Linked DNA regions of Rhinolophus ferrumequinum. The protein of the gene in region 2 purifies or fractionates together with the protein of the main gene of each other region. This does not show direct contact. Links are inferred from orthologs where the notes say so. Each region holds a gene or a part of one and is shown on either strand. Other genes may lie near its edges. The genes, in order: KCNAB2 and KCNA5.

What was found.
Region 1: the proteins of KCNA5 (region 2) and KCNAB2 purify together in Homo sapiens (co-immunoprecipitation; 3 studies listed by BioGRID and IntAct, counting the BioPlex papers as one, with this or other methods). This does not show direct contact. The link is inferred for Rhinolophus ferrumequinum from reciprocal best matches to the Homo sapiens genes KCNA5 and KCNAB2.

What each region holds. Positions count from the first base shown.
Region 1 is NC_046292.1:3,615,311-3,622,965, forward strand, and holds the start of KCNAB2 (voltage-gated potassium channel subunit beta-2), read left to right. Parts: upstream 1-4,689; intron 4,690-5,859; coding exon of another isoform or gene 5,860-5,867; coding exon 5,868-5,901; intron 5,902-7,655.
Region 2 is NC_046293.1:22,534,590-22,542,534, reverse strand, and holds KCNA5 (potassium voltage-gated channel subfamily A member 5), read right to left. Parts: upstream 3,105-7,945; 5' UTR 2,838-3,104; coding exon 1,026-2,837; 3' UTR 292-1,025; downstream 1-291. UniProt on the Homo sapiens protein: Voltage-gated potassium channel that mediates transmembrane potassium transport in excitable membranes. Forms tetrameric potassium-selective channels through which potassium ions pass in accordance with their electrochemical gradient.

The DNA.
Region 1 (7,655 bases), on a different chromosome or scaffold from region 2:
CCATGGCCGAGGCTGAGACTGGCACGTCATCATTCTGCTCGCACTCCATTGGGGTGTGTGTGTGTGTGTGTGTGTGTGTTGGGGAGATGCCATAAAGTCACCCAGCAAAGGATGTGGATACTGGGAGAAGTAAGGGCTAGGGGCCCTCATCCCCTCCTATGCAAATCAGATGCCAGCTCAGTCACCCAGGAACATCTGGGTGACCAGAACTGTCCCCAACCAGGCCCAATGAGAAGGTGTCTTCTCTTATTTTGTGTCTCCATCCTGGACTCGCAGGCTCAGGTCTGACCTTTGTGGTTTTTCATTTACGGCGCATGTTCATTTTCTTCACTGTCCTGAATACACAGAATTCTTCCCATCTCGTGCAAGTGCCTCTGGTGGGGTGGGGGGTGGAGAGGGAGAGAGGGAGAGGAAGAGAGAGGAAAAAAGCAGGAAAGAGAGGGAAGGAAGGAGGGAGGGGGGAAGGAAGCAGAGTCAGAGGGCGAGAGAGAGGGAGGAAGAGAAAGGGAAAGAGAGAGGAAGGAGAAGGAGGGAAAGAAGGAGGGAAGAGAAGAGAGGGAAGGAAGAAGGGAGGAAGAGGGAGAGGAACACACTAGTAGCTGTGAGTGGGACACCCCGGGCATATTTCCCCCAGAGTAATATAGTCATTTATCTTTATTTCCAACAGAGAAATTGAGGGTCATCTAGGCCAGGCCCCATTTTGCAGATGAGGAAACTAAGGCTCAAGGAGAGAGAGGGCTCTTGTGTCTGGTCAAGGGTGCCTCGCCTTGGTACGTGGTGAACCAGGACTTTCTGCATGGATCACCTGGTTTATTCTGGTGCTTTCCCCTATGTGTGTATACATGTGCTTGTCCATGTTAAAATCATGCCATGGGTCCTGTTTTCCCGAAGGCTGCCACCCAGCGTCCCATGGCCAATCCCAGGACCCAGAGTTACACTGAAGGCCCCCGTGTAACTCTCCAGTCAGTCCGTGGAGACTCTAAACAGTGAGGTCTTGCCAGGGCTGCAGTCTGAGACCTCCAGGAATCCGTTTTTGTGTTTCCTTTCAGTTTAACTCACTTCCTGTCCTTTCCCATCCTCTGCTCTCAGAGCTCTAACTGGCAGCATACTGGCCTTTCAGGAAAAACTAAAGCTGAGAAATCACCCACAGTGACAGGGTGCAGGGGAACTGGATACATCCACAAAGCCAAGAACCCTCCCCGAAATTACCGGTTGATTTGAAGGAGGAAACGTGCCATGTCAAGGCGGAAGCCACCTCAAGCAAGTGACTGGAGCCTGCCTCTGCCCACGGGGATATGCACGTGCCTCCTGGCTGGGTGCCCACAGAAGACACAGCCTCACCCAAAAGGCTTAGCCAAATCAAATCGTGAGGCAGCAGACAAGTCCGAAATGTGGGGCAGTGTGCAAGACAAATGGCCTGAGCTTTTCAAAATGTGTCCTGAAAAACAAAAACAAAAACATGGTGGGGAGCTAGATGAGAGGAAAGTGGGGGAAATAACCAATGCCGTTTGTGAACCTTGAGTGGACCCTGGGTTATTTTAAATCTATAAAATATATGTTTGGAATAGGGGAAATGTGAATATAGGCTATATATCAGGTGACATTGAATAAGCACCTTCGGTGTGCCCTGGCGTGATGAAGGACAGAGCTCTTATTCTCAGAAGAGGCATGCTGCAGTGTGGACGGGGGGTGCCCTGAGATTGCAACTTTCAATGGCTCCAGAAAAAATGCATGTGTGTGTGTGTAAGTATGAATGTGTGAAAGAGTGTGAGTGTGTGTAGAGACGGAGATGGAGGGAGGGAAGGACAGAGGAGAGAAAGAACGGGATGGGAGAGAGAATGCATGCAACTGAGGCAAAATGTAGACCGTTGGTGAATAGGATGCAGAATATAGGGGTGTCTGTTGCTGTTCTGATTTGTTACAACTTTTCTGATGTGTGAAAGTTTTTCAAAACAGTAAGTTGGGGAGAAGAAAGACAGTGCCCACAGATGGAGCCTCCTGACCTTTGGGGTGTCACCATCAGCTCACCTTGTAAAGGATGACAGCTGGGACTTACTCGACAGCTTTCTCCTGGGCTCAGCATTTTCATGTCTTACTTCTCTTTGCTCGGGGAGAAGGTATGGGCAGGCTTTCTGAGTGCTGCCTGCTTCAGTTCTCCAAGTATAAATTGGGGTGTTTGCTCAAGGTCACACACAGACCAGGTACAAGTGCAGGAGACGGAGGGACCCAGGCTTCGGACCCCAAGTCAGCTGTCTCTCCGGAAGCTGCGAGAGGCTGCGGGTGCACCCCTCTGCCCGCCTCCCTCCCAATGCCTGACATTGGCAGCATCCCGCTAGCATGTCATCTCCTCCGTGATTGGCCACTGGATGGATGCCGTTGCTCCTGATTGGACGGTGACAGCTGCAGAGCCCAGAGGTGGGCTCTGGGCCAGAAGCTGGCTGCTGGTTCAGAGGAAGCCTGACCTTCAGAGTCCAAACTAGGTAGGGGGGAGGAGTAGGCCAGGTGGCCTCCCCAGGGACGCCTTGCTAAGTGCAGCAGGTGGTACCAGTTGTCCCTGCACCTGTAGTTGCCCTGAGCACCCTCCCTGGACAGAGAGGGCGTTGCACCCTCCAGAGAAGACTGCCCTTGTCCCTGGTGGAGGCGGAGTCCCCACACCCCTCCCTTCCCCTGTGCTTTCTCTGGATGAGCCTTCAGCAGGCTAAGCTCAGAGTCATTCATTCACTCCCTCATTCAACAAGTATTTGAGTGTTTAGGAGGGAAACACGATAACAAATGAGACAGTAAGTGAAGTATGAGGTATATTAGACGGTGACAAGTGCTAGGGAGAAAAATTCTGCAGGGAAGGGACTAGAGGGGTGTGTGGGAGAAAGGGTTTGCAGTTTCAGATAAGGTGTCTGGGAGAGACTCCAGGAGAAGGCCACCTTTGTATAAAGAGGAAAGTTGGGGGCAGGGGCCCTCAGATGGATCTCAGTGGTCAAAGAGCTCAGGTGGAAAAAGCAGGTGCAAAAGCCCTGAGGTTGCGGGTGGCAGGTTAGCTCAGTTGGTTAGAGCATGGTGATGGTAGCACCAAAGTTGCTGGTTCAATCCCCGCATGGGCCACCGTGAGCTGCGCCCTTCTTTAAAAAAAAAAAAAAAAAAAAAAAAAAGCTCTGAGGTTGGAGTGTCTGCGGGTTTGTGGGACCCCCAAGGAGCCAGTGTGTGGGAGTGGGGTGAGCAAGGGGGAGGCAGGGGATGACGTCCCACGCATCATGGGCAGGTGGGGTGGGGCACAAGGCCACTGTTGAGATTTGGGCTTTCACTCCGGGTAGATTGGGAAACCATCGGAAGGTTTCGAGCAAAGTAATGACATCATCTGATTTATGTTCTAGAAGGTTCACTCTGGCTCCTGTAAAGTAGATGGTGAAGGGTAAAGGTGGAAGCCAGGAGACACATCACACAGCTGTGTGTGTGTGTGTGTGACTGGAGGGAAGGGGACCTGCGAGAGAGAAGGTGGTGGCCCAGACCACAGTGGAGCTTATGGGGATCACCGTGAGAAGCTTGGGATTCTGGGTGTTTCTAAAGATGAATAGTGATGAATTTTTTGCTGAGCTGGGAACAGCGTGGGAAGAACCGGCTGGGGACGCGATCAGGAACTGAGCATGATCTGTTGCCGCCGAAATATTACCTCGAACTTAAAACAACTTTTATTACCTCAGTTTCTTCTGTGGGTCAGAAGTTGGGGCACAGCTTTCCTGGGTGGTGCCTCTGGCCTCACAAGGCAGCGATCAAGGTTTTGGTGGGGCTGGGCTCTTACTGGAAGGTTCCACTGGGGAGGGATCCCCTCCAAGCTCCCGTGGTGGTGTGAAGAATTCCTTCTTGTGGCTGTTGGCCAGAGGCCACCGTCAGTCCCTTGCCTCTCCAACATGGCAACTTGCTTCATCAAGAAGCTTCATCAAGAGCCAGCAATTAAGAGAGTCTGCTAGCAAGACAGAAGGCACGGAAGTGCCTAATCACAGAAGTGACATCCCATCACCTGTGCCACATTCTGGTGTTCGAAGCCAGTCACTAGGTCTAGTGTATGCTCAGGGGGAGAGGGTGTTGGGTCCCAGGAGCTGGGGTCACGGGGTGTCTGAAAAGCTGCTTCCTTAAAGCTCAGCAGTGGCACCATCGTTAGAGTAGGGGTCAGGGAAGGTGAGGCAGCAAGGATGGCCCTGGGTGACAGTGACGCCACCACCTGGGATGGGGAAGACAGTCCAGAGTACCAAGTCCACAGACGCCCTCTCGGACCATTTCTGCAGAGTTTGGGCAACAAAAAGTTGCTCTGACAGCCTCAGAAAAGCAGCCATGGGGGTGGGGGTGCAGGAGAAGGACCCCTGTGGAGCGTGGTGGGGGATGGAGAGATGGAAATCCTTCACAGTCCTTGGACCTGACCGTCAGCCTCATCCGAGCCCCCATGGTCGGTCTGTCTGTGCGATGAGGGACATGCTGATGCCCCGCAAACCGGGCCTTCACCCTCACAGAGCCTCCTGGCCAAACCTGACTGGTCTTTCTTAACCACCTCCCCTCTTGCTTTTCTTCCAGAATCTTCCCTCTGTGAAGAAGAGAGCAGGTCGGGACGAGTGAGGCCGGCTCCATGTATCCAGAATCGACCACTGGCTCCCCGGCTCGGCTCTCCCTGCGGCAGACGGGCTCCCCCGGCATGATCTACAGGTGACCCCCAGCCCCAGGCCCCCCACAGTCACCCTCCCTCTGGGAGGGATCCCCGAGGCCACTGTGTTTCTTCCCCTGGACCCAGAGGACAGTGAGATGCAGCGGGGGTGCGTTTTCTCTGAGGAAAGGGATGGAAGCCTTTAAGACCAAAATGGGGAAGAAAAACCCAGGAATTTCTGGGTGGGTTGGAGCCAGGATTAGACTCCCACCTCTCCTGGAATAATTCAGGAGTGGAATAATTCAGGAGAGGTGGGAGTCTAATTCCACGGAAGCCCAACAGTGGGGGGGGGGAGTCCCTCCTGGCTCTGTTTCTCTCATCTTACACTTTGAGGCTCCTCCGGACCCCCTGTGGCCGGAGGAGAGTAGGCTTCAGAAGAAGGGGGGAAAGGTTAGCCCTCAGCTCCCCCAACTGCCTGAGTGAGGCTCAAAGCCTTGCAGGCCTGTGGGGCACCGTGTCTGCCCATCTTCAAATGCCGGGGAGGGCGGGGTGGCCAGGTGCTCACCAGGCACCCTGGACCTGCTCCTTGAGGAGGCCAGCTCTGTCTTTCTGCTTGCCTCCCGGTTGGACCCAGGCAAACAGGCAGGAGCCACTGGGTGAGAACTGCTGGCACCCCGACCGGAGCACAGAGCCCAGCTGGCAGTCACCGACAGCTGGGGCCCAGGTGGAACCCTGGGGGCCCATCAGTGCTTGAGCGATTGGACCTTTCTAGATAATTGTCAGGGCCTGAGCCTCAGCGAGTATCCATGGAAACCACAGGGAAAAGGGGTGTCCCCACTTCATCCAGGTCCTAACACGCACAGTCACGTGAAGATTTGCCAGTGAGTGGGATGACAGGCGCTTCTTGGTTTGAGGGTTTTCAACTGTTGTTCTCAAGCATATTTCATTAAAATCCAAACAGATTGTCCCCCAGGGTTTCCCTCCTGTCTTCAGTTCCCATTCTGCTGTCCCCACAGAATGGGCGTCTACCTCCTTGCGCCACTGGGTGGCGCTTCTGCCGAGCACTTGGTACCCAGCGTGCATCCTCCCCGCCAGCCCTGAGCAGAGCGGGGTGGGGCTGGGGCTGAGGGGTGTCGCTGGTGGTTCTGGCTGGCACCTCCCTGTGGTTAATGCCAATTGTGGACTCTCTTTCTTCTCTCCCTTCTTTTCTCTCTCCTCCGTTGCTGTCGCAGTACTCGGTATGGGAGTCCCAAAAGACAGCTCCAGTTTTACAGGTAACGAGCCCTCCATTCCCCTAAATCCACAAGCGAAAGGCAGGGGAGTGGGTGGGAGGGCTGTGTGCCCAGGTTGGGTGTGCTGCTGGTTTCTCAGGAGCAAAAGCCCCCCGACGAAGTCCAGGCTCCGGTTTTCTCTGGGCACCCACCCATGAGGCATCTGTAATGTCCTGATGGAAAAACCGTGAAGTTGGGTTCATTGTGCTGATCTTCTAGAATTTGCTTTGATTGGAGCAAAGGGACTTGTGACACCTGCTTCACTCTCGCAGGCTCTACCTTTGAGCCTCCCGCCTCAGGCAGCGGTTTGTGCCTCTTGGGGTCTCAGAGTCAAAGACACTGTGGCCCATCCGTTCTCCCCGTTTCCTTGGATTTGAAGTGATGTGTGTGTAACCTGCAGCGCTGTCAGGGTCACCCAAGGCCAGCCTCACCTGGGGGTTGCGGCTCCAATGTGACCTGGATGCGGTCGGTGGGGGGGGGGGGGGACGTGCTAGCGTCTTTCTGATGCCTGCCCCTGCTTGGTGAAAGGTTGTGTCCCTGTGAGACGACTTGGTATCCAGGGAACAGACAGGTCAGTCAGCCGCGTCCTCTCGGGCTGTCCCTTCCTCCCTCTAGGCGGCCTCTTCCTAACCTGTACGGTAGGGGGTACCCCACGAGGACACATGCTTCCCGGAAAGTCTCTAACTCTATCTAGGAGTTTACTTTGACATTTTCTTCCTATCAGCAAACTGTCAGGGTGTGGAACTTGCAGGTGAGCTCCGCCCGCCTTGGGACTCTGTGGGGACCTCGGCGTGGCTCTCGGGGGCAGGGACCTGGTGTCTCTTGTGCATCTTGACATTCAGGCCTGGCAGGTCTCGCTCTCCGGCGTTGCGCACGCTCACCACTGATGGGGCCGGGGGCAGTTACCGGCACCTCCGACGTGACCGTGGGCCTGGGTCCTCAGGCTCATTTTGCCACCATTTCAGTGTCCCACTCCTTACAGAGGGCGAGAGAGAGATGACCAAGTCTTTCATTCTACTCAAATTTTTGCTCAGTAAGGTCTTTCCTGAAATAGATCTGAATGTGGGCTTGCGAATGCGTTCGTTGGATAAAATGGTCATCACTGCAGTGGTACATAACATGTCACTGCAAATGTGTGACACTCATCCCAGCAGGATCTGACCAGTGAAACCAAACGTGCACTTGAACTGCGTCCTCACGTATCCCGAGCCCACCTCACTCCCAGAAGGAAAGGAATGAGGTGAGACAAAGGCAGAAAAGTCCAGGCACAGACCGGCCAGCTGAGAGGGCATGGCCAGGGAGAGGGGCCGAGGAAGTTGTGGGGTGTAACCGAGTGGAAGTGAGACTGTGTTCCACACCCTCACTGGCCCTTGGAACGCCACGGATCCAATGTCTTGTCCACCCCTTTAGGGCCCCTCTGGATAAGAATCCGGTCTCCACCAGGCCTTCTTGCCCTGAGGACGAGTTCTGTTGGAGAAGTGCATTCCCACGTCCCTCTCTGCCTCTCAGCTCCTCGTGCAATGCCACAGGCTCTGGATGTCCTGCCTTTGGTCTCCAGTGTGGTTGCTTCACACTTATGTCTCTTGTGGGGCCCCTGATGATGACCTCTAAGGGGGTAGGATCTTTGTCCAGCATCCAGGGTGCCACTCCCAGCGGGGCATCCTTGTCACCCAGGCGCTGACATGGCTCTCAGATGGTTCAGTCAGCAGTGTGGAGCCTCTCCTATAACAGAGCAAAGGTTTTCCAGGCGTGCCCCC
Region 2 (7,945 bases):
CCAAGCCATCAACAGCCCGAGACAAACAGAATTCACTGCTCCATCTATGAGGCACAGGGAGGGCCCAAGAAAAAGATGCTGATGATCAAATTGTTAGTGTTCCAAGTTTTCTACCCCAGTCAAGGTGGCATTTGCTCTGACTCCAAAACCAGAAACAGCAAGTGACAGACTATTTTTTTTTCAATTTCAAAAAATACAACAGCTGTAGAAAAACTAACACTTGCCTCAACCAAGTAACATTTTATTTCTTGGGGATAAAAATAAAGGAATGAATTATCAGAAGTCTTCCTCCAACATCATTAAAATGTTTTTCAAAGAAAGTTACAAAAATTGTTTAAGGCGCACAGAAAAAACTCAGACTTGCCTTTCTTCCAAAACATTCCCTGCCCTAGATGCAAAGCACCTATACCACATCCCAGAAAAGAGAGAGTCTTACAGACACAGGAACCAGAACAGCTGGGTCTCTGGCTAAAATATTAAGTATCACAGAAAAACATCACAGTAACTTTCTCTTCCATAAATACCACACAAGTCTTCAAAATATCTCCAAAATATCTCCATCTGATGTATAGTACAAAAATCCACTCACCAGCCATAAAAATATTTTCCCCTATACACAAAATATAATCATATGTAAAGCAAATTTGGAACACATGGATGGGGGTGGTTACAAAAATCTCTTGGGATGTAGGCTATTTAAAGTCATTTTTGTTTGGGTTATTCCTTTGCTGGGTATAGGAAACTGGCTACAAATACATCCCTCTCATAGCGCTCACCATTTCAACAGCTCCTGCGTCATGGAATGTGGTATTTTTTTAAAAATAGGCAACTCTTGGTGTCATGGAAAGAAGAGGAAAAATGGGGGGATCCAGGGAGAGCGGGAGGGAGGGAAAGAGTGAAAGGAAGAGGGACATGCTTAGGTTATAGAGTAGGTTTGAAATACTCTGTGGTATGAAGTATATACCCAGGCTCAGGAGGCTTCTGCTGTCCCCACCCCACTGCCACCAGTCTGCCTGGATCCCCCCTCATAAATCTGTTTCCCGGCTGGTGTCCAGGCAAAGGGCATACAAGGACCTGCGCAAGTCCACATTGCTCTTGGCCTTGAGGTTACACTTCTCTAGGGGGCAGCTGCCCCTTCGGGCTCCCTCTGCGTTCTCCAGGGCACCCCCAGCCTTGCAGAAGGAGCCCTTGCTCCAGCTGGCCTTCCGCTGGCCTCTGCTGTCCAGCGCTGGCCCCTGGCTCTGGCTGCCCTGCTCCTCCTTGAGGGTTGCCTGCTCCTCGTGGTCCGTCTCCCGGTGGTAGAAGTAGTTGAAGTTGGAGACAATGACGGGCACCGGCAGGGCGATGGTGAGGACCCCAGCGATGGCACACAGTGAGCCCACGATCTTGCCCCCTACAGTGACCGGCCTCATGTCCCCATAGCCCACTGTGGTCATGGTGACTACTGCCCACCAGAAGGCATCTGGGATGCTGGAGAAGTGGGTCTCCTGGTTGTCCGCCTCTGCGAAGTAGACAGCGCTGGAGAAGAGGATGACTCCGATGAAGAGGAAGAAGATGAGCAGGCCCAGCTCCCGCATGGAGGCCTGCAACGTCTTGCCCAGGATCTGCAGCCCCTTCGAGTGGCGGGAGAGCTTGAAGATGCGGAACACCCGGACCAGGCGGATCACGCGGAGGATGGCCAGGGACATGGCCTGCTGCCCATTCTGGCCACCGCCGCCTCCGCCCCCCGGCTGCTGCTCTGCCAGCTCGGTGCCCAGGGTGATGAAGTAGGGGAAGATGGCCACCACATCGATGATATTCATAATGTTCCGAGAGAACTCTGCCTTGCTGGGGCAGGCAAAGAAACGCACAAGCAGCTCGAAGGTGAACCAGATGACACACGTGGTCTCCACAATGAAGAAGGGGTCAGCCAGGGTCCTAGGCAGCAGAGGTGCCACCGTTGGGCCAGAGGGAGGCGCCACAGCCCCGCTGCCGTTGGCCCCCGGGGCGGGCCAGGAAGGCTGGTGGGGTGCTGGGGGATGGCGGAGCAGCTCGCGTTCATCCCTGAACTCAGGCAAAGTCTCCAAACAGAAGGTGATGATAGAAATGAGAATGACCAAGACCGAAACGATGGCGATGGCTCGTGCGGACCCCGAGCTCTCCGGGTATTCAAAGATAAGCCACATCTGGCGCTGGAATTCATTGCGGGGCAGTGGCTTCTCGTCTTCTTTAATGAAACCCTCATCCTCCCGGAAGCGCTCCATGGCCTCGTCCCCCAGCTGGTAGAAACGGATCTCATCTGCGAAAACGTCCAGGGAGACATTGACGGGCCTCCGCAGCCGGCCCCCGGACTGGTAGTAGTAGAGGATGCCGTCGAAGCTGGGCCGGTTGCGGTCAAAGAAGTACTCGTTCCTCAGGGGGTCAAAGTAGCGCAGGCGCTTGGCCGGGTCCCCTAGGAGGGTGTTGGGGAACTGCGCCAGGGTGCCCAGCTGCGTCTCGAAGCGCAGCCCGGAAATGTTGATGAGGACGCGCTGGTGGTGAAGGGCCCCTGCCCTCAGCACCTGGTCCTCCGCCGTGCCCAGGGCGGGGTCGCCTTCTCCCTCCTGGTCTCCCGGAGGCAGCTGTCTGGAAGGCGGCAGCTCCTGGGGTAGCGATGGCAAAAGCCGCCCTCCCGGGTCCGCGCCCCTCTGTGCGCTGCGCCCCCTCGGCTCCGGTTCTTTGGGTGCATCGCTGTGCCCAACTGTCGGGGGGCACTGGAGCTCTCCCCCTGTGGCCTGCCCACAGCCTGCCCGGGCCTCACCTCCTCCTCTGACGGTCATGGCCCCGCCGTTCTCCAGGGGCACCAGGGCGATCTCCATGGCCCGAGGGCTGGGAGCATGCTGTGCCTCGGTCGACACGCTCCCCCCCCGACCCCGCTCACACCCAGAGGGCGCCTGGCGCGGGGCTCCTCTCCCGCCGTCGGCGGGGCGCACAGTGGAGCAGGTTGGGGTTGCTGGAGCAATCGCCTCGCTGGGTCCTGACGTCAAGAAACCGCTGCCCTGCTCTCTGCCTTTCTCTCTGTTCTGGCAGCCCGTTACCAAGCAGCCAAAAGCCTCCTTCCAGCAGTTGCAACCTTCAGCTGCCCCTCTCAAGCAGCGCGGCAGCGCTTGGCCTCCACCCTGCGCGCTTCCCCGCCTACCCCCCTCCCCTCTTCCTCCTCCTGCGTCCCCCTCACGCCTCCCCTCCTGGTTGTCAGAGACAGCGGGTGCCTCTCTGGAGGGCATAGCTGGGGCCCCAGGCAGGGGAGGGAGAGGGGCTGAGAAGGACGCAGCCCAGCACGGTGGGAGGGAGTGGGGAGGAAGGAGGAACAGGTTGTACCGAGCGCTGAAACTCCTAGGGCAACCAGATGAGAATAGTTCTGGATTTCAGTTCACCTGGGAACCCGCTGAACGCAGAGTGGACTCAAGGGGAAATGAATTGTCTTGGTTTGAACGGATGAGGCTTTGAGCTGAGTCAAAGAGAAGAGACAACAGTCATTTTTATATTTCTCCCGCGGAGGAATAATGGTTCGCTATTCTTTGGGAAGAATTACACAGGGGAAGGGGAGTGGCGGAGCTATGGGCTGTGAAAGACAGATGATAGATAGATAGATAGATAGATAGATAGATAGATAGATAGATAGATAGATAGATAGATAGATAGATAATAGATAGATAGATAGATAGATAGATAGATAGATAGATAGATAGATAGATAGATAGACAGATAGATCTCCAGACCAATGGAGAAGCATCTCTCTTCTCACCTTCCTACAAACCCACCGAAAGGTAACCGGCTGAAACCTTGCAGCGCCCCTGCCCTTACCCTGAGAAAAGCCCTCATTCCCAGTCCAGACAGCCGTGGTCAGCAAGACAGACCCAGCGCTGCAGGAGTCTGGACATTCGCTGCCTGGTTTCATATCCTTGCAAACGCGCAGACACACAATCCCTCTGCCCTCTCCACAAATCCATTTGCAAAAACCTTACCAGGCAAGGGGAGGAGGAATAAAGAGATCGTGATGAGAGCTGTTTCAGCCTGGTGAAGGGAGCTAGCAACTGCCTGGAGATCTGTGTAACGGGTTGGGGTAGGGGTAGTATGAGAGGGAGCCAGGGAGGTTGTGGAATCTCCAGAGCTGGAGAGCTCCCAGGACTACAATAATAACCAATACTTAACTTTGCTTTTATGATGCACCAGGCCCATTCTCAGCACTATACAAATATTCCTACAGCAACCTATTTTGTAAGTACTATTATTCTTAATTTATACATGAGGAAAATGAGACAGAAAGACTGACAACTTGCCCTAGGCCATCCAGGTAGAAAGTGGTGAAGCTGGAATTCAAACCCAAGCAAGCAGAGCTTGGGCCCTTGCTCCCTCCACTCTACTCCTCTGCAGAAACGTGTAACCTCCTTTCCAGATACAAGCACTCTCTCCCCTCAACATAGAGCTTTAGTTCCCTCCTACAGGAGGCAGAATGGCTAAGTCCTGGCTTAGCACACCAGGCTATGGGCCCTGCCTTGCCCCTGCAGGCTTTGAGTGGGCATCTATAGCCAAGGGAAATATCTTTCAAGGCAGGTCTGGCAGGTCCCGACACAGCCTCCAGATATTTGCCGGTTTTAAATGACCATAAAGTCACTGAATTTTTGAATGTCTGATTACTTTTGTTCCTGTATGTTGTTTGGTGTTTATATATGTGGATATTACAGCCCCTTGTCTGTGACCTACACATAGGGGATGTTTTGGAAACTTGGTACCAGGTACACAAGTATTTGTTGAAATAGCAGGGTGTGGACATACAATCTCATGTCAGGGTTGGACAATTATATGTGCACATGACTTTTTAAAGTGTACATGAGGGTGGATGTAAATTTGGCATGGGTAAAAGCTCTCGTTGTGTGTGACTTTGTGCACGCAGTTGGCTGTCCTTGCAGACATGTGTGAGTGAAAATCAGTATGTGGAGGCATCACTGGTTAACCACAGGGCCTTGCCCTCCCCTCCCCAGACCTCTGCAATTCCCACTATCTCTTCTGGGTTTTCACTTTCTCTGGCTCTGAGCTTGCCAATCAGGATCCGGTCTGCCCCTGGGAAGCCTGGGGCTTACTGAGCTTGCACAGGGTGAGCTCAGAGACCTGGGACCACTGTATCTTGTTTACTAACTCATGCATCTTGTAAAGACAGGGTTACCATATTGGTTTGCGTGGACTTTCCCTGCACTCCCTAAGGGAAAATGTTCTCTGGACCTTGTCTTCCAGGGGCCCTTGGGGAGAGTGTTCCCTGAAGAATGAGTGTAACATAAACAGTCCTGGAAAAGCACATAAGTCAGGCTTCCTTTAATGTGGTATTTTCTTAAATCTGCTTTCCATACATTTACTAGCTTTCATAGATTTCTTGCAAAATTATCTTCATATGTTACATGGGACAGCCATGGAGGTATACTGCTAGGATCTCCTTTAAAGAAAAGAACTTAGTTTTTAGCTTCAAGGAGTGCAGTTAGCTGACAGCCTACAGCTGTTAGCATCTCTGGTTCTGCTTTGGCTTTCACGCAGAGGCCACAGTCGTCCTGGGCAGCCCTCTGCCAATGACTGAGCTTGCAGGGTGACAAGGACTGGGCCACTTCTATCCAAGGCAGACACTGCTACTGTGCAATCTTTGCACTGGATCTCCCCACTGGATTTGCCAAGTCTTTGTATGACATATACTGCAGGCTGAAACTCTCCCTATCCAACCCTTCTTCCCCTCTTTCCTTTCACAGGTGTCAGACCAGCATCATGGTCAGAAGGCTTCTCCCAATGAGTGCTGCAGGTTTCTTTCTCTCTCTTTTATTACCTCCCAATAAAACTCTTGCATGCCTAACTCCATCTCCTTATCCTCTTGGGAGAGGACACAGCTGATGCATCATAGGACTGAACCTGCTTTCTTCTCCATCCATCTAATCCTAGGGGATAAGCTGTTCTAGAGCAGTGCTCGATGAGCACCGTCACCTGAGGATCTAGTTCCAAGGTGGCATCTGACTCGGGGTGGGGCTTAGACTGCGTTTCAAACAGCTGCCCCGAGTCGCCCATGCTCCTGTCCGAAGACCACACTGAGCGTCAGCCTCCTCTCAGACAAACCCTAAACCATGTCTCAGAAGGAACTATTCGCAGCACCTAGATTATGTCCCCCAGAATGAGATATACATAGGAGAACAAATGGGAGGTATTCTCTCAATGCCCAGACTGGTCCTAGCAGATTGCAGGAAGACTTGTGAGGTATGCAGAATAAAGAGAAAAGAATATTATCAGCGTAAGGCATTGAAAGAAAGGAGAGCTGGGCTGGAAGAGAGAGGAAAGGGAGAAGAGGAAGAGGAGAAAAACTTCTAAATGCCACCTGTATCAATCCATTCAAAAATATTTATTGAGTACCTACTATATGCAAGGCATTGTTACAGGTTCTGGGAATATATTGATGACCGAGACAGATGCAGTTCCTCTGTGGAGCTACATCCCTGGGAAGGCAAAAGACACTGACTGAGCATCTAATTTTACACTGGTTGTTTAATTACAATTTTAAGGGGTATCAGCTAGAATACAGGGTCCTGTGAGAATAGTGGAGAGCCTGACCCCTCCGTAGGACCTATGTAGGGAAGCTTTCTGAGGTGATGATGGAAAAACAATTCCAGGTGGAAGAGTATGTCCCAAGGCTCTAGGGAGGAAGGGACAGGGCTGGTGTGAGGACCTGAAAGTTACTGTAGTTGACACTGAGGGCTGGGGAAGAGTTCGGGGAGATTGGGCTAAAGAGGTGGAGGGAACGCCAGACCATGAAGAGCTTGCTAGGTCAGGTTTCATGATCTCCCCCAGCAAAATGTAACAACACACCCTCAGATACTTTGCTTGTGTCTCTATAAAGCAAATGTGGCAATTTGCTTCTTTTTTAAAAAATCTCTCCATTACTCATTTTAGCCTCTTCTCTCCCTCCACTCCCACTGGAATGTAACTTTATCTCTATGTGTAGTATGTATCTATCCTGTCTATTGATCTCACCCACAAACAGTATCATACCATTTATATATCTATTGACTGGTAGATAGATATGTAGATAGGCAGACAGATAGATGATGGAAAACAGAGCAAGACAGAGATAGCTTGAAATCAAGCGTTACGCATCATACTTTCCTCATCTCTGATTTGCCTTTAAACACCAAATTGGTACCATGTCCATATTGTGAATTTCAATATGTATGTGTTGAAAGAAATTAAACTAAGAGAAAGGAATTCATCTGTGGAACAAAGAGGGAAGTGAAACCCAGGGATTTCATCTCAGAAATCTTCTTTCAAATCATTGGAAGATTTCTGAGATGAGCTAAATACTCAAACTGGCTGTGGAGATGGGACTTAACCAGAAATTTTTAACACTCGTTTGGATGGCCGTATAGGGAAAGTGGTGAATTAAATCTGTTTTGGCTGTTTATTCAGGTTATATATTATTACATTATCTATTACTACTCAAACAGCCTTAACTTTGTAAATTCAGTTGGAAACTAACTTTGTGGATTAAAAACAATTTAATATTTTGAACTGTGTAATTTATTTCCTAAATTGAGATAGTGTTTGAGACCTAAAGTTACTGTAGCTTTGTTTATTATATAAGAATAAGCCAAAAAACATGGAATCTTTTGTATTTTCATCTAGAGCAAGGAAAAGCTTCCCCAGTTGGATTAAATTTAAAAGGACAGGAGGAGGCAAAAATAAGATTCTGTTCTAATTATGCCACCAGTCTTTCTTGTCAAACATCAATTTTGCTACTGCACGTTGGGGTTGGGGTTGGGGTTGGGGCGTTTACAGACGTGGGAACCTCCTCAGGAATGCAATGAAAGTTTCCAAGCAGTAGCCTGGACTGACACACCGAGCAAACCAGGAAAGGTCCTAACCAGTCAGTGCAGCGCTCTGGACTCAGGCTACTTCTGCTCCT